Linked DNA regions of Tamandua tetradactyla. The main gene of each other region encodes a partner of the protein of the gene in region 3 in a complex. Links are inferred from orthologs where the notes say so. Each region holds a gene or a part of one and is shown on either strand. Other genes may lie near its edges.

Region 1 (7,585 bases), on a different chromosome or scaffold from region 3:
ACGCCCTCCTTCAGCCTCTGTGTCTGCAGAGGAATCACCATCACCTGGCAGCCGCCCAGCCCTGCCCCTCCCAGCACGCAGCTGCCGTTAGTGAGATGAGGGGCCGAGAGCAGGTGGCTGTGATCCCCAGGGACACGCGGATGCACCTCTCGGCCAGACACTAACTACTCTGCTGCCCAAAGGATCTGCATTGCCCTTCATGTGGATTTTTAATCTTTTATGAAAACATCTATGTTCCTGATTTTTCTCATTTTTTTAAAGTAATGTCTTAGTTGATTTCAAACAGTCATTTAAATGCTTTATTTATAAATAGAAAACAGGAAGAAGGCAGTTCCTGAGATGTTTCAGACCGAGGAAGAGCTTTTCCACTCGCCCCTTGGCCAGGGGTGCCTCAGAGCTATGGGCTTTGTTGACAGACAGCAAAACTCCCTTTCCTCCCAGTACCTCCAGTCACTTCTCTGGCCACAAACCAGCAGCCGTAGCAGCAAGGACAAAGGGCACCTGTTCCAGTGCCATGTGCCATGCAGGGGGTGGGATGAGGATGTGCCCATCCTCATCTGCAGCAGGGACTCGACCTGTCAGGCCTGCCCAGAGATTCCTGTGGTTCCAGGGATACTGGGGAGAGGTGGGAGACGGCAGCCAAGGACACTGATGTTTGTAAGTAGGAGCCATGGATGGGTTAGCTGCCTGTACACAGCGAATCTACAAGTCTGAGGAACTCAAGCAGGGACTGGGGCCTTCCCAGGAGCTCCCAAGGTATCGCCCCAAAGGTCTAAAGCACAAGTACGAGTACTCGTGAGACTCTGAAAACAGGCTGTTTTGCCATCTGCATCCTTGCAGTCATCAGAACAGAAGGCTTCAAGAGGAAGGGTGTGCAAGCTTTGCGGGGAGGACCACGACGGAGCCGCGGCACAGAAAGGCCAGGGTCCCGCGGTCGCCTACCCACCTGGTCCAGGCGCTTCTCCAGGAAGCCCAGGAGCACACGAACCACATCCATGTTCACTCCCATGAACTCGAGGGAGCCCTCGTGCAGCCCCGGGGGGAGCAGGACGTCCAGACACTTGAGAGGCAGATTCCCCAGGAGATTGACTGTGTGGCTGCAGACCGGGGTGCAGGTGAGGGTGGGCAGGTGCCTGCCCTGCTGGGCCACATGCGATGTGAGCCAGTGTCAGGGGGCCAGAGGGCAGCACCAGCCAGGTCCCCTGTTCCTGCTAAGCAGGAGAAGCCCTGCCTGTCCCACCCCTCTGTCTGGGCTGGCTGCCTCACGCCATGGACATTCTCTGGGAAGTAGGTCATGGAGAATGGCGGCAAGTGACAATCTTGATCTGCTGACACCAAGGTCCAGGCTGGCATGCCCTTCTGCCAGACTGACAGCTTTTGGTCTTGGGTGTTATGAATAACTTTGCTAGTCCCATCAGAGGAGCGAACTCAGACTCCAAGAAGGGAAATGGGGCTCCCAGGTGGTTCTTATTTATACCCAAGACTGAGAAGCACCCCAATCCCACAACAGGCCCCCTCCCAGCCAGACATGGCCAAGTACAGAGCTCCCCCCACCCCACACACAGCTCCCAGCCCAGAGCCTTGCCCTCACCCCTGGAACTCCTCAGTCCGGTCTCCAGCAGCAGCCACCATCACACAGCGCCGCAGAAGGGTGCCCAGGTGTCGGTAAAGGGCAGTGTCCTGACCAGAGAGAAGAGCAGATCCCTGAAGGCGGCTGCTGCCAGCTGAAGGCATGCTCTACCACCCTGCCCCTCCTCCAACACAAGGCTGCAGGTCCAGAGAACCAGTGGCTCTGACTGCCACACAGCTGCCTTTGTACTCTCCTAAACGACCCTGCTGGGTGGTGAGGCTGACCGACCAGTGCCATTTTCCTGAAGACTCTGTGGCTGCAGATGTCCACACCCACGGTTCTGCAGTGGCTGTTTCCTTCAGCCTGCCATCACACCACACACCCTGTGGCACCTGGACCTCCAGACCCAGGAACAGCTATCTCCCTCAGATGCCTCTCTCCTGGGAGGGAGCCCCTCCTTGGCCTCCCCTAACCTCTCTATGCCTGACGCCAGATCCGTTTAGGTTCCTGGCATGTCGCGGGGCCTAGGATTCGGGCCTCACCTGGTCTGCCTCCCTCTTGGTGGTGTCAAAGGTGATGTTGAAAAGCACCTTGAGGACCTCCATGGCCCGCTCAGTCTCCTGGTGCGGGAGGCACTCAGGGGCGCAGTCTTCGGGGTCTGCCCCGAGGGTCAGCTCCAGCGTGTCAGTCAGCAGGCGCACCCCCTGTAGCTCCTCAAACAGCTGCTGGCGCACGTCGGTGCGCAGAGCCGTGAGCAGGAAGAGGAGCCGCAGGTCAAAGAACTGGACATCATGTGGGACGCTCCTCTCCCGGGAGAGCCGCACGCGCTCGGCGAGCCTCACCACCACGCCGGCCTCGGCTGCCAGCTGCTGCGCCAAGGGGCTGCTGAGCACAAGGTTGCACAGGCACTTGAGGGACTCCAGCACGACGTCCATATCCGCACCCGGGGCCTTGAGGGCGGAGCCCTCGGGGGCTGAGATGCCGGCATGGCGGGCCAGGGCCTGCAGGCTCTGGCGGCTGGTGAACCGGTCCAGGCAGCTGCGGTCCCGGGACAAGATGCGGACACTCTGCAGCCAGGTGACGCGGTGGGAGGGCGGCAAGCCCTGCTCCAGGGCCGAGACGAGCAGCTCCGCCAGTTTCTGTGAGCAGATGAAAGGGCGGCTGCCCGGAGCCCCAACACCCTCCCCACGGCGCCTCCTAGGACCCCCGGCCCCTGCCCTTTACCGCTGCCACCCACCTTCCTGTCGTCCAGCTGAGCCTCGTCGAACGTGAAGCTCTGGGAGTTCTGCAAAGACACCGGGAGGGTTCTCGGAGCGCAGACCCCGGACAGGGCGGGGCCGCGCACTGGGGGGGCTGCCTGACCCAGGCGGGGCCTGCACGCGCCCCGCCGCGCACCTGTCCCCGCCGCGTGCACCCCGGGCACCGTCCCGCGCCCCTCGCCGCCCCATGCACGTCCCACGTCCGCCGCCTGCGCTCACCTCCCGGTTGTAGGTCCGCAGAGCCTGCACGATCACGTCCTCCTCCCCCGTCTCCACGGCGTCGGCAACCGCCCGGGGCTCCATGGCGCCCCCAGGACGCCCGAAGGCTCCGGCCGCGAGCCAGGGGGGACGTCGCGCCGCGGCGGGGCCCAAGTCCAGCCCGAGTCCAGCCCGCGCGCGGCCCCGCCCTGCCTCGGGCAGCCCGCGTCCGGCGCGCGGGGGAGGCCGGGACGGGGCGGGGCGGGGCCGGCACGCGCGGGGGGCGGGGCGAGGCCGCGCGCCGCTTAAGGTGCGCGGTTTAAGGTGGACCCGGAACGGCGCTGGCGTTGAAGCCCCGACTCCGGGACCCGCCGGCTTGGGGCCCAAGTCACCCCTTGGCCAAACCGTGACCCCTCCCTCGTGCGCTTCTTGGGCCGGAATTTCAAAAGGAGAACTCTCCCGATCCCCCCATCTTTATCCACAGAATGAGTGGGATGGAGGAGGAAAGCGCCAGCGGAGAGGGCTTTGCGGTCTCAGAGCCTTTGGTTTACTAAACCGGCGTCGTGGAGCGCCTGCTGCAGGCGAGGCGCTGGGGACGCGGGTCAGGAAGACCCTGCCGTCCTGGAGCTGGTTCCAGAGGGGAAGACGGACAAGGAAAGACAGACAAGACGACTCTGCGTGGTCCTAAGCGTTGTGGTTTTAAAAACAACAGGCTGCTGTTGTCCCCAATTGCGGGGGGTCGGCAGAAGGCTCTAGGGAAGTGCTACTTCTGATGAGACCTGATGCTCACGATAGGGGACCGTGAAAAGACTTGGGGGAGGCCACTCCAGGCAGAAGGAACGGCTCGGTTGGCAGAGGTCGGGGGTGAACGCAGGGCCGGAGTAAGTGCAGCGACTTCCGAGCTGTGAAACCCTGAAACGCGCTCTAGCTCAGAGTTCGTGTCCTCTTCTGTAAAGCAGAGGGGAAAGTGTCCACTTCAAGGGGTTGCACTGAGGATTACAGGCACTCGTAACTGACACACAGAAGATACCTCGTAGCGGTGAGTAATTCATAAATACAAACTACTCACCCACCTCTCTGTTCTTTTATCACACATCTGTCATGCCAGGCCCTTGGTACCAGGATTCAAAAGCAGGAAACACTGGTTCCTACTGTCTCCGCTGCCCCTTCCCCAAACCCTTTTCCTTGGTTCACTGTTACTTATCTGCATTTTATTTTTAAAGCACTTATTCAGGTTTACTTGTTCCAGGCAATGGTCTAAGTTCAAACGAGGAAACCGCCTTACAGACTCGGGAACTAAAATGCACGAAGGTTAAATTCCCCAGGTCACTCGAGGCCGAGTGGGGCGGCGAACTCGTGCGCCAACACCGCGCCCCGGCAAAGGCGCTGGCGCTCCTCCCACTTCTTAGGACCTAACCTCGCCTGAATAACCGAGAGAAAAGACATTTCGACGTTAAAGCGAATGGCGCAAGGGCTCCCAAGTGCGGGGTCCAGGTCGTCCCGGGTCCACTGACAATGAAACAAACGTCGGACTCCTCAGTCCCTCCGCGCCCGCGGCGGCAGAAGGGGCGGGGCCGGAAGTCCCTCCCCGTGACCCTGCGACGCCGTGACCCCGCGACCCCGCGCCACGTCCTCGGCGGCGCTGGACGCGATGGCGGACTGGGCTCGGGGTGAGCGCGGGGTGGGCCGGGGGTCCGGGGGACGGGACGGGCCGGGGTTGGATCCGACCCCGGGCGCCCGTCGGCGGGAGGGGACAGCCCCCAGTCAGCGCCCCGCCGAGGATACGTGGCTGCGTCCCCCCTCGCCGCCGGAGGCCTGGGAGGGTCCGGCCGGGTGCCGCTCCCGCTCTCCTGGGCTGTCGTGACGACTGAAGGAGGGAACGGACGCGAAGGCGTTGGCGGGGTGCGTGGCACAATGCCTGGCACAACGGGGCGCCTTTCCGCAGCCGCCCCTTCCTTCCGGGTCTGTACGAGTCAGAGATTCCTAAGGCCTCGGACTCTCAGGGTATCGGCCCCGTGGAGGGCGAGTCTCACCCACCGAATGTGATACATTCACGCCACTGGTCCAGTTCGGGTGTGCAGCGGGGAATGGGGTTGGCCGGAGTTACCGGGCGGGTCTCGCACCGTGCCCTCGTTGTTCTGGGAGGTGCTGTGGGGACATAGGTGAGCAAACCTAGGCCCTGCCCTCGGGGCTGGACCCTGCCCACATTTTGGTTAGGGAACTTTGCTCGCTTCCTTTTCTCCGTATAGAAGGGCCTCCCCGATGTCCTGCCCTTGGTTATCGGTTACTTTTTCAGGACCAGGTCACAGGTTACGCCCACACAGCCCTCGCGGCTGTCCTCCTTGAGCTAGTGCTCTTCCCTGGGCCCTCCCCAGGACAGGCGGGAGGTACATGCATGGTAACCTTGCTGCAGGCAGGTACTGCGTCTCACTGCCTCCCTGGGATTAGTCCTGTCTGGCTTGGCGTGCCGGATGGGCTGAACCTGTTGGGGTACACCCCAGAGGGCAAGCCACACATCCTGCATGTGTACAGGGGACATGCTCCCACGTGGTTGTTTACTGTTGCACAAACACAAGGGCCACAAACCTGTCCCTGCCCAGCGGGTTACAGGTGGAGACCCAGCCCCCACCCCTGCCCAGACTTCAGACTGAGGCAGATGGGGTTGAGGCCACAAAGGGCCAACTTTCTGTGGTCTGAGGGTCAGGGATTGTGCTCATGGGTGGATGCACAACTTCAGCCTGTCTCTACAGCTCAGAGCCCCGGTGTCGTGGAGGAGATTCTGGACCGGGACAACAAGCGGATGGCCGACAACCTGGCCTCCAAGGTCACCAGGCTCAAATCGGTCTGTGGCGGTCTCCTTTCTCTTGGGAGCAGGACCCCCAGGAGGGTGCAGCTTGGGGGGCTCCAGGCTGCTTTCCATTCTCCTTGCTGGCTACTTGAGGCCTGGGGGGCATTTTCTGACCTTCGTGTTTGGTGAGGGTGGCGTTTGTTCTGGCTGGTCCTGGGGGAGGAAGGGTGCTGCCCCATGTCTGGCCTGGCCTGAACCTGCCCTCTCTGTGCCCTGGCCAGCTTGCCCTGGACATTGATAGGGATGCAGAAGACCAGAACCGGTACCTGGATGGCATGGTAAGAGCCTTTGAAGCTCTAGGGTGCCCTGCTGAGCTTGGGCCCACACCATCTGGGGTCGGGCACTGTTCTTGGGCACCAGCAGAGGTGGGTGTGGAGGTGCCAGCGCGTGTAACAGTACTGGGATTCCTCCCTCAGGACTCAGATTTCATGAGCATGACGGGTCTGCTCACTGGGAGTGTGAAGCGCTTCTCCACAATGGCACGGTCTGGGCGAGACAACCGGAAGCTTCTGTGCAGTGTGGCTGTGGCCCTGATTGTGGCCTTCTTCATCCTCTCCTACCTGTTGTCCAGGGCGCGGACGTGAGCGAGCGGGGGTGGGCGAGCTGCCACTGCGGGTGCTGGGGCCAGCCAGGGCCACCCTGTGCCCCACCTGGGCTCCTGGGCTCCGGAGCACTTCCCTACAACATTCCTTTGAATTTACGATTGTGGGTCAGAGGTCTTCTTCCTGTTCTGGACATGAGCATCTGTTGGCTGGTCCCATCCACGGAAGGGACACTTTCCCTGGGGAAAGGAGGCCCAGCGTCCTCCAGTCCCTGGTTGGAGCCTGAAGACACATAGCACTGTGCTGGCAGCCCCTCTCCCAGCCCTCAGGCGTCTCAAGGTTCCTCTACCGTTTCCTCTGAGCAAGGCCATGTGTGTGATTTGTGCAGCATGAGGCTGGCATGAAAAGTGACTCTACCTTCAAACCTGAAACAGCGCTATCTCTTTGGCCCACCCTCTCCAACAGCAGCTGCTCTTGGCCAAGGCTGCCTGGGCAAGGTCACACCAATGCAGGCCAGCTCCTCCCCCAGTACCCTCTGTGCTCACGCTCATTTCCCTCCTTGGGGTAGACAGAGGGCAGCTGGAGCCAAACCCTGGGGCCTGTGGATACAGAGGCTCTGAGCCCTAAGCGCTTCTGGGCTTGTTCAGAGCAGGAATTCACACTCAGGGTGTGCATTTACCCAGCCTTGCAGATGGGTTCCACGAGACCAGACCTCCAGGAGTGGCTGAGTATGGGTGAGGCCTTCCACCTGCTTTTCACAGGACACTGCTGCCTCTGTCACCTGTAGGGGTTGCCAGCCATGTGTGGTTAACTTATTCTTCCACCAAACCCTGCCCTTCCTCCCACTGTGAGGGACCCTTCCTCCTGAGTGCATGTATCTCTGAGCCACCGCCCTCCCTGGGCCCTCATTTCCCACTGCGTACTCTCTCCACCATCACACCAACCCTGGACAGGTCAGACCCAATGCCTTTAAGACCAAGCCATTGAGCTTGGGACCCTCCCCTGTCCTATCTGATTCATCTTCTGCCTTCCTGGCCACTCTGTGAGGCCCTGACTCACAGTTCACCCACTTGCAAGGCCTCTTTCTGAGTTTGTCCAGCTTAGAAGGCTTTGTCTCTGAAACCTAAACCGGCTGTCTGCCATAGCCTGCTGCAGTCAGCTCCCACAG
Region 2 (7,153 bases), on a different chromosome or scaffold from region 3:
ATATAATCTTAAAATATATAATAGAATGTTGTTTGGTATCAAGTTTTGTGTTAGCTGTTATTAGTTAGCATTATTTCAATGAACTCTTCTTGAGCATTCACTCTCTGCTAGGTTGAGGATGTATAGAAGTATGCATCCAGAAGCACTTTTCTTGGAAAATATTCACTTTTGCTAACTGTACATATTAATTTATTAGCAGGATAGATGGTGTATTACCATACTAAATAAAGCCAGATAATTTTTTTAAAACATACATCAGATCATATCACTTCCCTACTCGAACCTAATAATTTCCCATTACACTTAGAACAAAATCCAAACTCCTCCTGTTTCACAAATCCCTGCAAGACTCCCTAACTATCCCTCTGCCCCTATCTCCTCACTTCCACTCTTCTCCAGTGACACTGATCTTCTTTCTGTTCCTCAAATATATCAAGCTTCTTTCCACTTTACAATCTTTGTCCCAGCTCTCTCTGCTTGGGATTCTATTCCCTCTTGGCTTCTTGTAATTGAGAATTCAGTTTTAACGTCACCTGCTCAGAGAGGCCTTCTGTGGTTTTCCAACATAAAGGCTTGTACTAGAACCATAAATTTTGTAGCATGGATGAGATCATTTTAAGAAAAAGTATGGAGTAAGAAGAGGGCATTTGATAGAGCCTTGAAAGCTCTTAATGGAGTCATCATTTACCATCCACACAGCTAGTAACTCAGGTCTGTCTACTTTCAAAAGTTATTCTCTTTCAAAAATATTCTGTTGCTTCTCAAAGAAATGGTATCAAATAAAATTGAATTAATGTTAATATAAAGGTAAACCTTTGCAAAGGATGAATGGAGATGAAAAAGAAGCATAAGCTGTTCTGGAAAATGAAGAAGCAATATTTGGAATAGATTGGGAAGAATAATATTTTGACAGGGTAGGTAGCATGTTCAAAGGCAGTGAGGCATAAAAGTATGTGAAATTATTTAGTGCATTTCCAGTTGTACACAGGACAGTTGAGTATTGTTGTGTCTATTGTTTTTTATTTAGAGATAAGTGTGGTTTAATATGATGGGTATAGCTGCCAAGTTGACATGGGGTGGACTGTGATGGTCAGTGCATTTGTCAACTTGGCCAGGTAATGGCTCTCAGTAGTCTGGTCAAGCAAGCACTGACCTGTTACTGCAAGTATATTTTATGAACTTAAATCAGTAAGTTGATGGCATTTATGGCTGAATACACGTACAATCAACTAAAGGCAGTGTCTTCAGCAATGACAGACATTTAATCCAAACATTTGAAGGCTTTTAAAAGGAGAAGTGATGACTTCAGCAGTCAGAAGGGAGAATTTTTATCTCTACTTCAGTCAACCAGCCTCTACTGGGGAATTCAACAAAAACATTCATTAGAATTGCCAGCTTGCAGCCTGCCCTGCAGAATTTGGACTCATGCATCCTCACAATTGAGTGAGACACTTTTATAAAATTTTATAATGTTAACAGATATCTCCTGTTGGTTGTTTCCCTAGAGAACCCTGACTGATGCACTATCTTTGCAATTTTTCTGTAAATCTGAAATTATTCTAAAATAAAATGTATTTTAAAAAGTATGTAGTATTGAGTGTTAACTCCATGAAGGCAGGGGCATTTTCGTATTGTTCACTGTCATACCTCCAGCATCGAGAACAGGACCTTGCTCATAGTAGGCACTTAGCACATATTTGCTGAAGGAATGGATGAATGAATAAATGAATGCATGACACTATACAGGAAGAGGCTTGAATACAGGGTGTGTTGAAGAGAAAAGCAGAACATGAAGTCATACTCAATACAAAATTGAAGTGTATATGTAGATTCTTTGATCCTGAGACATATGTGTATAAATTGGTATTTTCCTGGAACTTTGAGTACTTCTGTGACACTTAAGATTCAGAGCTGTAGTTCTGCAGCTCTGAAATTCAGCATGGCTACATACAACTGTTTAACAACAGTTAAAGAAACCAAAAAAGAGATCAGGCATCCATTAAAGATGAGAATGAAGCTGATCTTGTTGGGACTAAGGTAAATCAGAATGCAGGGTAAACGATGATAGTGTTTGTACTCTAGAGCTTCACCTATTGTGTGAGACCAAAGGCAGAAATGTTTATTGGGTCTAGCACTTAAATTTTCTGTTACACACAATCTAATCAACCTGTCTGGATGGTTCATTTAGACAATCCAAACACATGGAGCCCAGAATGGGAACAAGGCCTTGTAATTCTGTATAGCTTAATGTAACACCTGGAGACATCCCAGAGAATGGTAGGTTGATAATTGAAAAGTATTGGTCGAGTCCCTTGAGAGACTGGACAAAAAAATATGGAAATATTAAATTTTCCCACCTGGGAACCCCCTGCTACTCTCTAGAACATTAGGCAGTCCCCCCCCCAGTATAGGCCAAGCCCTTGATTTTGAGACTTGTCTTTATAAAACTTATTTCTATAGTGAAGAAGCTAAGCCTACCCATAATTATGCCTAATAGTTACTTCCAGGAAATCTCTTTGGTTGCTCAAATGTGGCACCTCTCTCTCTCTCTCTCTCTCTCTCTCTCTCTGCCCAACTCTTCAAGGAAAATTATTACCTTCACCCCATAGGAGACATGACATTCAGGGGTGAAAGTCTCCCTGAAAACATGTGGCATGACTTCCAGGGTTGAGCCTGGCCCTGGTATGGAGGGATCGACAATGCCTTCTGGTCTAAAAGTGGGAAAAGAAATGTAGCAAAATAAGGTATCAGTGCCTAAAAGAGTTCAAATGGAGTTGAGAGGTATTCTGGAGACTACTCTTATGCAAGTTTCAGTTAGATATTGCTAATTACCAGGATTTGCAAAATTCCGACTAACATGATTCCTGCCAAACTTAAAGAACATCTAGGGCTCTATCTGAGATTCTACAAATGATCCATGCACTGGGTTTACTTTCCAGAAACTTACAACCTCCAGATGAGTTCCTAGGCCAGTTAAGTCTCGAGATGCAGAGGGGTCAGCTTTTACATCACATAATTCCATTTCCCTATCCCATATTGTCAAGACAGCCTTTCAACCTGAAAAAGTTAGAATGGGCAAAGCCCTAATATCCCTAAAGATTGTGAGAACAATCAAAGGAGAAGGAGTTATAGCAGAGAAGATAGAATTTAACAAACGAATATGACTGCTGAATCACTATAATGATATTTCTTTTAGCTTCCAGTGTTTTGGAGCTGCTAGAAGGAAAAAGCTGAAAATGTGGAACGGTAACCATACCAAATTCTGAAATCTGTTCTACAACTAATTGTTGTGGTGTTCTCTGAAATTTATTCCTTTTTAAATGTATATATGTTATATTTCACACTAAAAACCGTTTTTTTTAAAGCAAAAGCAAAACCAAAAACATTTTCTTTTTAAAGGGAGGCAATAATCCACAGTGTAAAAATCCTGCAGAGATGATGTAACATAATGGCTGAAAATGCCTATTGGTTTTAGCAACACTATTGAGAATTTTGGCTGGGAAGGAGAGGTGGGAGAAAGACCACTAGCTTAAGTCTGTGTGGTGAGGGCATTAGGGGAAGTTGGTTTGAGAAAGGTGACTGGAATTTTTTTAGATAAGAGAAATGCTGGCAATCTTTAAATGCTGATCATAAAGAGCGTGTAAGCAGGCAGCCGTTTAAGAGTCGGGAGACAGGGATTAAATGAGTTGGAAGGAGGAAATACGGATGTAAGGGGCGGTGTGTTTAAATCAAGAGTAGATTATTGTTGTTGCAAAAGAATGGGAGAAAGGAGAGGTGAAGGATACAAGGAGGTTGGGAAACAGTGGCGAAAGTAGAGGGAGTTCTTGTTAGATAAATGCTCTTCTGTCTGTGAAGTAGGCGACATTCTCCGCTGAAAGTAAACGAGGCTCCGGCGGGGCGAGCCAGCCTCTCATTTATCGCGCCAACGCCATTTGATAGACTCCTTCTGTCCTCCTGCAGCCGCTCATTTTCCCCTCTTGGCTCGGCGCTTGGTAAGCAGTTACGACAGAACTGTTGACCGAACGCCTGACAGACTCAGAGAGACGGAAGACGGAACTAACACTCCCAGAATGCAGTCCGGTTCTTGGGAAATGCAGGGGCAGGGAAAGCAGCAGGCCCTGCCCCGCTGACGACTCCCATTGGAAGAGAGCTCACATTCCCAGGAGGCTGCGCGCGGGCGGGGCGCTTCACACGGAAGTCGGCGGCATTGGGGTCTAGCCTCCCTCGGGAGCTCAAAGTTGGCTACCCCACGTCCAGAACCCGCGCTCTTGCAGAGGGCGCTGGACAGGTACGTAAAGGGTGCGCTCAGTAACAAAGTGGGGGACTAGACAGCAGAGGGGAAGGCGGGGGTGGCCAGGAAGGTACCGAAGTAGAGTGAGGAGGCAATGGGAGGGTGACTCGGAATTCTCTGAGGTCCACATTTCGAATTGTCGGGCAGATCCAGTTTGGATGAAGTGCGTTTTATGCCTGTGATAAATCCTCAGGTTAAAGAAAGCCATAATGTGTCACTTCATTTGTTGTTAACAGGAAGGAAAATGTTGACTTTGTCAGTTAGCATTCCCAGGACATCACCTTAGCATTTGAATCTCTTAATCACCTGAGTCTTTTAAAATCGCCTCTATGCCCTTGCTTCGGTGACGTCACTCTTCTGCTTCACCTTCTACTTCGGAAGTCTACTGCTCAGTAGTGGGTTCTAACCCTCTTCACGCCCCTCCTCCACCACCAAATGTTGACATTCATCTTCCTCTTCAGTTCAAATACGAACTCTGTATCTCTTGCCCAAATCGGCTTCCTGAGCGTCAGATGTGTTTGTTATTATTACTATTATTATTTTTAATGGTCAATATTTATCAAATTCTATATTCTAGACTCCTTGGTAAGTGGTTTACATATCCCTCTCTCAGAACCCCTATAAACAATTATCAAGACCTTTTCTTTCCGTCTTATTAATTGCTCTGAACTACCTGTACTTCCATTTTCCCACCCTTAATCCCAGAAGATGCTGTCATGTTTGGGGCATTCTTTCTCATTTGAATACATTTGGCTTGGAGCAGATTCATTCATTCGTTTAATAAATGTTTATTGAACAGCGCATATACACCACAGAGTTTTCTAAGTGCTAGGGATATATTTGTAAATAAGACAAAAGAGGTCAGTGCTCTCCAGAGCTTCCGTATTTTGGGGACAGGGGCGTGGGGGGGGTACAAAAAGGAATAAACAAGATGATATGGTGGTTAATGCAAAATAAAACAGACGGTTTATTTTACAGAGTGGGATCCTGTCCTAACAGAGGGATTAGCTTGAGTCTTAGAGCATCACCCTAGAAGAATATTTGTGATACACACAGTACCTGATCTGTGATCAGGCTTCAGACTTTTCATAAATGTCCTTTCTTTTCTTTTGTCTATCATATTATAGCAATATTTGTTTTTCATTCTTCTGTCTCCTCCAAGGTTGTTATTTCAGAATTGGTGGTTTATTTCTCATTGGTTTATTTCCTCCTAAGACCCAGAAAGAAGAGTTAGGGTTTGATTACTATCAGCTCAACTTCTTTATTTTAGAGAGATAGTTTGGTAATCAAAATATTCTTCTTTCCAGGGCCTAGTGACTATAAATCTATCATTTACAAGTATATTTAACCACAGGCTCAGTATTCACTCATTTATTCAATATATATTTGAGAGAATATTTATACTGTGCACTGTACTGAGCACTGAGAACATTGTGAGGGTAAAGTAGACATTTTAACCTCTCTTCCAAGGAAAAGTAATCATAATAATATACTGAGGGAATGCCTAATGAATAGGCTGATATCTGCATTCCTTTTTCTTCATCCAAGGTGAGATAATCACAAAACTTTCATTGTGTACATTCTTAGATTATTCACTTATTTCAATTTATTGCATTTATTTATATCTGTCTTCCCCATCCCATTGTACTGTGGAACTTGTGAGTATAGGGGTCTTTTCTTACTTATCTGTATATCTCCAGTGTCTTCTACATTGGCTGCCATAGAGTAAAATCTTCAGTACGTATGTGTTGAACTGAAATAGACTCCATTTGATTAAATCCAAATTACTTAATTTATACAAAGCCTCTGTCAGCCTTATCCACTAACCTTCACATTCACTGAATGTGGACCATTCTATCTCATCAAGCAGTTTCTTCACCTTTTCTAGCTTGTTCTCACCTCGGTGCTTTCTCTTGTTCCATAGCTTCCTCCTAAAATTAGTTCCTTCTCTTTCCTGGGTACCCTTTCTCAACTCCACCCCCCACCCCCCGTTACGTTGATGGGCCAATTAATATAATTATATACCCCATAATATAAGAATGAAAAAAAACTTCCCATTGTGTATTTCCTATGAAACATTCTGCTAATGAATTGTTGCAAGAATTCACATAATAAATCCGTTTGCAATAATATAAATGATGATGCAGAATACTTTCTTTTGATTTTTGTGTTGAATGTATTACCATGTATTATAAATTAATTATTCCACTTCATTTCTGTATTTGAACTGTTGCACAACCTTTGTTCGTGAAGCACATTATGGCATCATTTGATTTCCACTTGGTATAAGCATTTCTTTGAGTATTATTTTCTCCTTAGCCTAAGATAATTTATATATTAATGTGATTATACCACACTGTCATTTTCAGAGTATCAGGTAAAAGTCTCAATTCTTAAAATAATCTTATTCCACGCAGCTATTTTTCAATTGTCAATCAGTACTGCAAAAAATAAATTTTGTCTGTAACTGATTTTGAAAAACATAGTAGGAATGCATGAGTGCTTGAATTGTAATTGTTATTATGGTTTTAGGATGCCAACCTAAGAGCAGCTAGACTTGCTTCCAAGACATTAAAAATTAAGCACCATCACTTTAAAGGGTTTCTTGGCACCTATACCTTCACAGACATGAATGCATAGGCGGCACTGACTTGTGTGCCATTACTCATTTATGAGATATGTATATAGATGGTCCAGAATATACTTATACATCTTTAATACTAACAAAATAACAATACATAATTGAAAAATTCCTCAGAACACATGGACTCCAGTGTGAAAAATGTTGGCTTGGTCTTTTCCCTTACTCTGTTCTCTGATGCTGTCTTCAACTTTTGCTTGAATGCCTCCACTGAGGAGAAG
Region 3 (7,333 bases):
TTGGGCAAGTGATTTCTCTTGGAGGAAAATAAAATATTTTGGGTCTCCTGATTTAAACTTTTGTATGTGTTTGTTTAATAATTCAAAATAAGGCCCCGAGCTAGGCCAGGCATATGTATAAAGTCTTCCAGCAGGGAACCTGAGTGAATACCACTGTAGCAGTATGTAATCCTTCAGCTAACATTTGTTTAGCACTTACTGTGCCAGGATTTGTGCTGGGTACCTGAATACAGAGTTTATAGCGCCCTCCAGGAACTCTTTCTGCTGAAGGAGATGGCATGTGAACAGGACTGCAGAACAATACAAGAGCTGCCACACATATGCCAAGGGCTGTAGAATTACTGTAGCGGAGGTGTTTTCAAAGATACAGGTACTATATCCAGTTGCCAATCTTGTGTTCTTGATGTTCCTGGATCCCTGTAGAAGCCCTTTTGGCTTCATGTGCATGGGGGTCATCAGGAAGCAAAGTGGACGTGGCCTCCCATGGTCTGGTTCTACTTCAGGCCTCTCAGGGCCACTCACAGGATCCTCTGCTGTGGTCCTGGGAACTTTAAGGTTAGTATAGTGCCTAGAAATGGCACTTCAACGTGTACTGCCTTCCTAGATGGGTCATTCAGTTGTTTCTTTTCACTGCTAGTGATCTCAGAGCCATATGAACTCTTTAGTCTCAGCCCAGTTAAAAGGTTCCGAATAAGGGTGGTGCAGCGGTGGCTCAGTGGCAGAATTCTTGCCTGCCATGCTGGAGACCTGGTTTCAATTCCTGGTGCCTGCCTGTACAAAAGAAAAAAAAAGGTTCAGAATAGGAAGATGTTAGAAAACTCTGGGCTCTAGGGGTGACATTCTTTAAGACCCCCATAGCTGCTTGCCCATCAGAAGCCTCAGCTGCTACTGTCAACAGCCCAGTGAGGCAGGTAGTCACATCCATTTTAACCACAGGAATCAGATTAGACTTGGAGGAGGTCACTTGCCCCAGACCCAGCTAATATGATATAGAGCCCCAACTCAAACTCCAGTCTGAAATAACTCGTATCTAAAGCACTAGACTAAGTCACAGACGATATTTTAAAGTTAGGAGGATGAATCTGAAAACCAGAAGGAACTAAAGCCAAAGCCTAGCAAAAGTTTTAACTAAAGTCTCAGGAATGAGTGGATAAAGATGACAGTGGGGCAGGTGGGGGACGGGTGGGGGGGGAGAAAACATTGGGAGTAGTCAGTGATTGAGGGTGTTGGTCACAAGATGGCACACCTCTTCTGCAAAGATGGCCTTGAGAAGGAGGACTTAAAATTGAGTCTCTTTGTTAGGTGGGAGCTGTTTTCTTAATCTTTAGTTGCTGCCTAGAGATGCAATTTGGGAACTATTGCTGGCATTAGGAGTTTAGAGCAAAAAATATGATGTGAAAGGGGTCCAAGGTCATGTGGGGAGATCCTCACCTTGCAGGCTTTCAGGCTTCTCTGCTGTTTTAATAGGGAGCTTCCATTTGGGATCCAAAATATTGAAGTGGCCTGAAGAATGTTAACCTCAGTTTCCTCAAAAGGTTTGAATCTTAACATCACCAGGAATAAAGTTAGCAGAAAATGTACAAGGTCTCGATAAAGAAATATTTAAGATACTATAAAGGACTCAGAAGGAGACTTGAATAAATGGGACGATATGCCAAGTTCTTCAGCAGAAGCAGTCAGCATCATAAAGCTGTCAGTCCTCCTAAGTGAGATAAAAAATGTAGTGTCACCCCAATGACACATTCTAGTAGGGTCTGAAAAGCAAAACTAAAGTTCCTGTGGGGTGGGGAGAGGGGAGTAGCTGGAAGTTGCTGGGACAAAAAAAAAGTGAGGGGGATGTTTAGTCCTACCAGATATTTAAACATAAAAGTATAATTAAAACAGTGTAATGTTGGTGCATGAGAGAATAGATAGGAGAATAAAACAGAATGGAAAATTTAGAAATAGGCTCAAATATATATGAAAATTTAGTATAGTAAACGTGGCATTCAGAACCAGTGAGAAAAAGATGGATTCTTCAGTAAATAGTATGGGTCACATTTTCACATCTTTTTTTAAGCTCATAATTATGAAAGAAATATGTATATGGAGCTTGGGGAAATAAAAATAGACTTTTATTAGTATTGGTAATAAACCTTCATTATAAAAAAAATAGTATGGGAATAACTCGATAACATCAAGGAAAAGTAAAATTGGATCTGTATACTTCACAAAACAAGCCAATATATATTTCAAAATGGATTAAAAGCTAAATGTTAAAAGGAAAAAACGAAACCATAAAAACATTACAAAGAAATGTGGGAGGATTCCTTTAAACCTCCAGGGTTAGGGAAGGCCTTTCTAACTTGGACCCCAAATCCAGAAGCCATAAATGTAGATAAGTAAATTCCACTACGTAAAACAAAAACACTTTTTTACTTTTTTGTTTTAAAACCAGTTTATGGTTTTAAACCAGTTTATGGTCAAAGTAAAACCAGTTTATGGTCAAAAGCACTGTCAACCAAGTCAATATTCTGTAGACTAAGAAAAAAGCTTCGCAACATCTCTAAAGGATAGCCTCCTAATACATGAAGAGTTCCTGGAAATTAATATGAAAAAGGCCAAAAACCCAATAGAAAAGCAGACAAAAGATAAATAATAGCTTTTAAACATAGGGAAAAGGCCTCAACCTCAATCATTATAGGAGAAATGCAAATCAAAAGATGCATTTTTCACTTAATTCACATGTTGGTTAACACACCATGTGGGAAAACAGGCATTTCTACTAGCACTTCACTGGTAGGAGTGTAAATTGATACTACCCTGATGCAGAACAATTTGGTAGCATGTATCGGATTTTTAAAATGCATATGTTCTTTGACCTGGCAAGTTTTATTTGCTCTGTGGCTTTGGGCAACTTATTATGCATTTTTGTCCTTTACCTTATCTGTAAAATGTGTAAAGTCTATAAAAGCTCTACCTCATGGAGTTACAGTGAGGGTTACCAGGAGATGATACACATAAAGTACTTAGTACTCAGAGCCTGGCTGAGTAGAAAGTACTAGAAAAAAAAAGTCATCTAGTAATATAATAATAGGAGCTAACATGCTTGCATCTCTTATACCAGGCAAATGCAGTGGTGCTTTTTTTCATGTTATCTCAATCATCAAACCTACCCTGTGAAGTAATTGCTAGGGTTATCACCACTGAGGAAACTGAGGCACAGAGGAATGTGAGTGGGCAATGCCCAGGCCTACTTTACACTGCTTCCTTTAGGTGCAGTGAGGTGATGAAGGGCTCCCCTTAAGGGAGGGCTGTGCCCAGAGCTGAAGGAGCACGGTGGACCAGCACGAAGCCTGGTTTGCACAGCCCTACCCAAGCAGCCATATGTGATTTTGAGCAAAGCTGTGGCTTTTGGTGAAGACCCTGCCACTTTCAATTCGGGTAACCTTGCAGCAGGTTTCTAATCTACTCTTAGCCAATTCTAGGCATTCTAGGAAGAGGATACCATGTTCCAAGGCTTCAGGTCCAAAAAGAGCTTGAGGAATCCAGGAATGGGGGATAGGGTGATGGCCGTCAGCCTTGAGGGCTCGCTAAGAAACCTGGACTATTTAGTAATAATAAAAATAAAATGTGAGTGCCACTATTTGTTGAGGGCCTGCTCTTACAATATTTTGCTAAATCCATCAAAACTACTCCAGTGAGGTCGATTTAATAAATCCAATCGTACGCAAAAGGGAACGTCAGGAACCACAGAAGGGAAGTGCCTCGATCAGTTCTGCGTTTTAGAAAGACCCCTCGAGCTGTGGGTTGGAAAAACAAGAGGTACACGAATGAAGTGCCTTGAATTCCACACATTAATAAAAGAATAACGTTTATCATTTTCTTTTACGTACTCTACAATTTATACTCACTGTAGAACGTGTGAAAAGTACAAAAAAATTTTAAGAAATATAAGCAATTATTCGTTCCCCCCCCAGGCCATCCTAATTGATATTTTTCTTTCAGTTTTTTAGTTTTCCTAAGCCAGCAGTATGTAGTCCCTCTTCCCTTCCTCTCTATCTTATTTTGGTCATTGCAAGAGATGAGGCTGGTTTTCCCCAGATGTCGGGCGACGTCTTAGTTCCTGGGCGAACCGCTCAGGATTCTGCGCTGGACGTTCCCGCGCCCACCTCGGTTTCTCACCCCGCCCTTACCGTTCCGCGCGGAGTCCCCGGCTCGGCTCAAGCCGCTCTCTAGGGGGCGCTGCCGCAAGGGGAGGGAGAGAAGGCGGTGCCAAACGCGTTTATATTTGGCCACTATCAACGCCCGTAGCCCGCGTCCCGAACATGGCGGCTCCTCAAGATGTCCACGTCCGGATCTGTAATCAAGAGATTGTCAAATACGACCTGGAGGTGAAGGCGCTTATCCAGGTACTAATTCCCGGGAACCCTGCTGGGCTCCAGCCACCCAAGCTCCGCGGGCCTCCTGGGGGTTTGGCGGTCTCAGCCCTGAACTGTTAACACTTGGTCTAATCTCCGAGGCCTTTGGCCCCGCCCCGTGGTCGTCTACCCTCTTGTGGTCCAGTCCCCGTGACAGTTGGCCTTAATCTTGCATCCGGGTACCGCTGATTCGCCCTCTTTCCTGCCACCCCTAAGACTCCTTCTTCTGACGCAGTCACTTCTGTGTACCCTGCCTCAACATCCCTTTTGAAACCCCCGTTTGGTCCCTTCCACGTCTTCCCTGATAGTTGCCCCGCCCCTGAACACCTCACAACACACCTGTCACTCTGTTATTCCCTCTAGCTGCTAGGCCCCGCCTCCCGGTGCCCGCCTCCATCCTCCACTTCTTAGGGTCCGGGAGGCTATTAGCGCCGCCCCCTGCCGGCCTGCCTTGCTGGGTCTGGTGCCCCGTGATCCCGAAGCGCACTTGACAAGGGACATGCCGGATGAAATGAGTGTAGCCTGGACCCAAGATGTGATTTTTTTAAAGGAGGAAATTGAGTAAAGCGCTAAGGCCTGAATCAGAAGGCAGATAGTGTCAAAACTGGGATCCGGACAGGGAAAATCATCCTATGGAAGGATCTTGAGAGTCTCCTCCCCTCTATTTAGTAAATGGGGAAATTGAGGGATTTTGCCTTAAGCCAGAATCAGGGTTCTTTTTTTTAAATTTTTTAAAAACTTTTTTATTGTGTAATATAACATATATACAAAACAAAGAAAGAAAAAAGCAGTCGTTTTCAAAGCACTCTTCAACAAGTAGTTACAGGACAGATTCCAGAGTTTTTCATGAGCTACCATACGATCCTCTCATATTTTTCCTTCTAGCTGCTCCAGAATATAGGAGGCTACAGGGCTTAAGTTTTTTTAATCATCACAATTGACTTTTTTTCCCTCTGTTTTTTTTTGGTGAAAAATAATGTATGTAAAAAAAGCTATAGATTTCAAAGCACAGCTCCACAATTAGTTGTAGAACATATTTCAGAGTTTGACATGGGTTGCAATTCCACAATTTTAGGTTTTTACTTATAGCTAGCTGCTCTAAAATACTGGAGACTAAAAGAGACATCAATTTAATGATTCAGCATTCATATTCATTTGTTAAATCCTATTGTCTCTGTAAAACTCCACCATCACCATTGATCTTTCCATCCCTTTCTTTAGGGGTGGGTAGGACATGACAATTCTAAATTTTTCATATTGGAAGAGTCTGTCACTAATATGGGGTAGGGAGATGGAACTATCTGATGTTCTGGAGAGGCTGGGCTAGGTTTCAGTACTTATCTGGACCCATCTGGAGGCTGTAGGTTTCTGGAAAGTTACCCTAGTGCATGGAACCTTTGTAGAATTTTATATATTGCCCTAGGTGTTCTTTAGGATTGGTTGAAATGGTTTTGGTTAGGGTATGGCAAGTTATGATAGGTAGCAATGTCTAACTGAAGCTTGCGTAAGAGTGACCTTCAGAGTAGCCTCTTGACTCTATTTAAACTCTCCCAGCCACTGATAATTTATTAATTGCACTTCTTTTCCCCCTTTTGGTCAGGATGGAATTGTTGATCTCATGGTGCCAGGGCTGGACTCATCCCTGGAAGTCATCTCCCATGTCACCAGGGAGACTTTCATCCCTGAATGCCATGTCCCACGTAGGGGGAGGGCAATGATTTCACTTGCAGAGTTGGGCTTAGAGAGAGTGAGGCCACATCTAAGCAACAAAAGAGGTCCTCCAGAAGTACCTCTTAGCCATGCCTATAAGTAGTTGAAGCTTTTCTTCTACCTACATAAGCTTCACAAGAGTAAGCCTCAGGATCAAGGGCATGACCTATTGATTTGGGTGTCCCTAAAGTTTGACACAGTATCAGGGGATTCCATGATGGTAATGTTTAATAGTTCTATAGAATCAGGGCTCTTAAACTCCCATTTAAAAAGGCAGTGGTGCAATAAATCAGTCAACATAGGCAAGAGTTGGGAATGTGGGAATGGTTCCATAAGTTTAGCAAAAAAACCAAGGGTTTTTTTGTTTTTGTTTGTTTATTTGTTTGTTTGCATGGGCAGTCACCAGGAACCAAAACCAAGGGTTTTAAGCCTTAATTTTAAGCAAACCATTTTCCTTTGCAACAAATGTCATCGAATATTAGATGTAAGCTCTGAATTTGCAACGAGCTGTGACAAAAGTAATGGAAAATAGAGCTTCCCCAGTAGACCAGATACAGAATAAACCAAATTAGTGGTTTAACACGCGGTGCAAGGAAATGTGGTTTAATGACTAAACTAAGGAAAAAAGTGAGGAAACCATGCAGACGCTTGAACTTCGTAAATGTTACTTCTCCCATGTGTAAACTGCAAACTTCTGAGCAATCTTAGAAAAATAAATTTAGGGTTCATACAAATGAAATTACCTTTTGACATCATTCAATTGCTCTGTTTTATACTCTCTTAACATTTGGGTTCCTGTGGTAGCTAATGAGAAAGATTGATTATAGTTAGATGTATTACACTATTACAGTGTTCCTGTCACTCTACTAACTGCTTCACATATGTACATAATCTCTGAGGTCCTTAATGTAATGAGGAAGCTGACAAGTTCAACTCCTGGACCATGCATCCAAAAAAAAAGGGAAGATATCTGTAAATACTTTGATTCCTCATAGATAGTTTATAAAATCAAACTGAAGGAAGTTAATCTTTTCATGTGATGCCAGAAATTTGAGCATCATGGTTTTCAAGTTGGAAAAGTCTAAAATTGTTTTTTTTTTATTGACAAGTCTTCACACACATACAGTCCATACATGGTATACAATCAGTGGCTCACAATATCATCACGTAGTTGTGTATTCATCACCATAGTCATTTTTAAAACATTGCATCACTCCAGAAAA

The links.
Region 1: BNIP1 (region 3) and BET1L share a complex: the UniProt entries of both Homo sapiens proteins name them as parts of the SNARE complex. The link is inferred for Tamandua tetradactyla from reciprocal best matches to the Homo sapiens genes BNIP1 and BET1L.
Region 2: BNIP1 (region 3) and VAMP7 share a complex: the UniProt entries of both Homo sapiens proteins name them as parts of the SNARE complex. The link is inferred for Tamandua tetradactyla from reciprocal best matches to the Homo sapiens genes BNIP1 and VAMP7.

Annotation. Positions count from the first base shown.
Region 1 is NC_135335.1:33,480-41,064, reverse strand, and holds the start of BET1L (BET1-like protein), read left to right. Parts: upstream 1-4,567; 5' UTR 4,568-4,678; coding exon 4,679-4,697; intron 4,698-5,777; coding exon 5,778-5,869; intron 5,870-6,096; coding exon 6,097-6,153; intron 6,154-6,291; coding exon 6,292-6,459; 3' UTR 6,460-7,585. Other genes in the region: RIC8A (chaperone Ric-8A), read right to left, coding at 1-23, 947-1,097, 1,592-1,680, 2,113-2,709, 2,808-2,855, 3,049-3,132. UniProt on the Homo sapiens protein: Vesicle SNARE required for targeting and fusion of retrograde transport vesicles with the Golgi complex. Required for the integrity of the Golgi complex.
Region 2 is NC_135353.1:68,024-75,176, reverse strand, and holds the start of VAMP7 (vesicle-associated membrane protein 7), read left to right. Parts: upstream 1-4,150; 5' UTR 4,151-4,288; intron 4,289-7,153. UniProt on the Homo sapiens protein: Involved in the targeting and/or fusion of transport vesicles to their target membrane during transport of proteins from the early endosome to the lysosome. Required for heterotypic fusion of late endosomes with lysosomes and homotypic lysosomal fusion.
Region 3 is NC_135346.1:54,590,196-54,597,528, forward strand, and holds the start of BNIP1 (vesicle transport protein SEC20), read left to right. Parts: upstream 1-4,262; 5' UTR 4,263-4,307; coding exon 4,308-4,391; exon of another isoform or gene 4,392-4,733; intron 4,734-7,333. UniProt on the Homo sapiens protein: As part of a SNARE complex may be involved in endoplasmic reticulum membranes fusion and be required for the maintenance of endoplasmic reticulum organization. Also plays a role in apoptosis.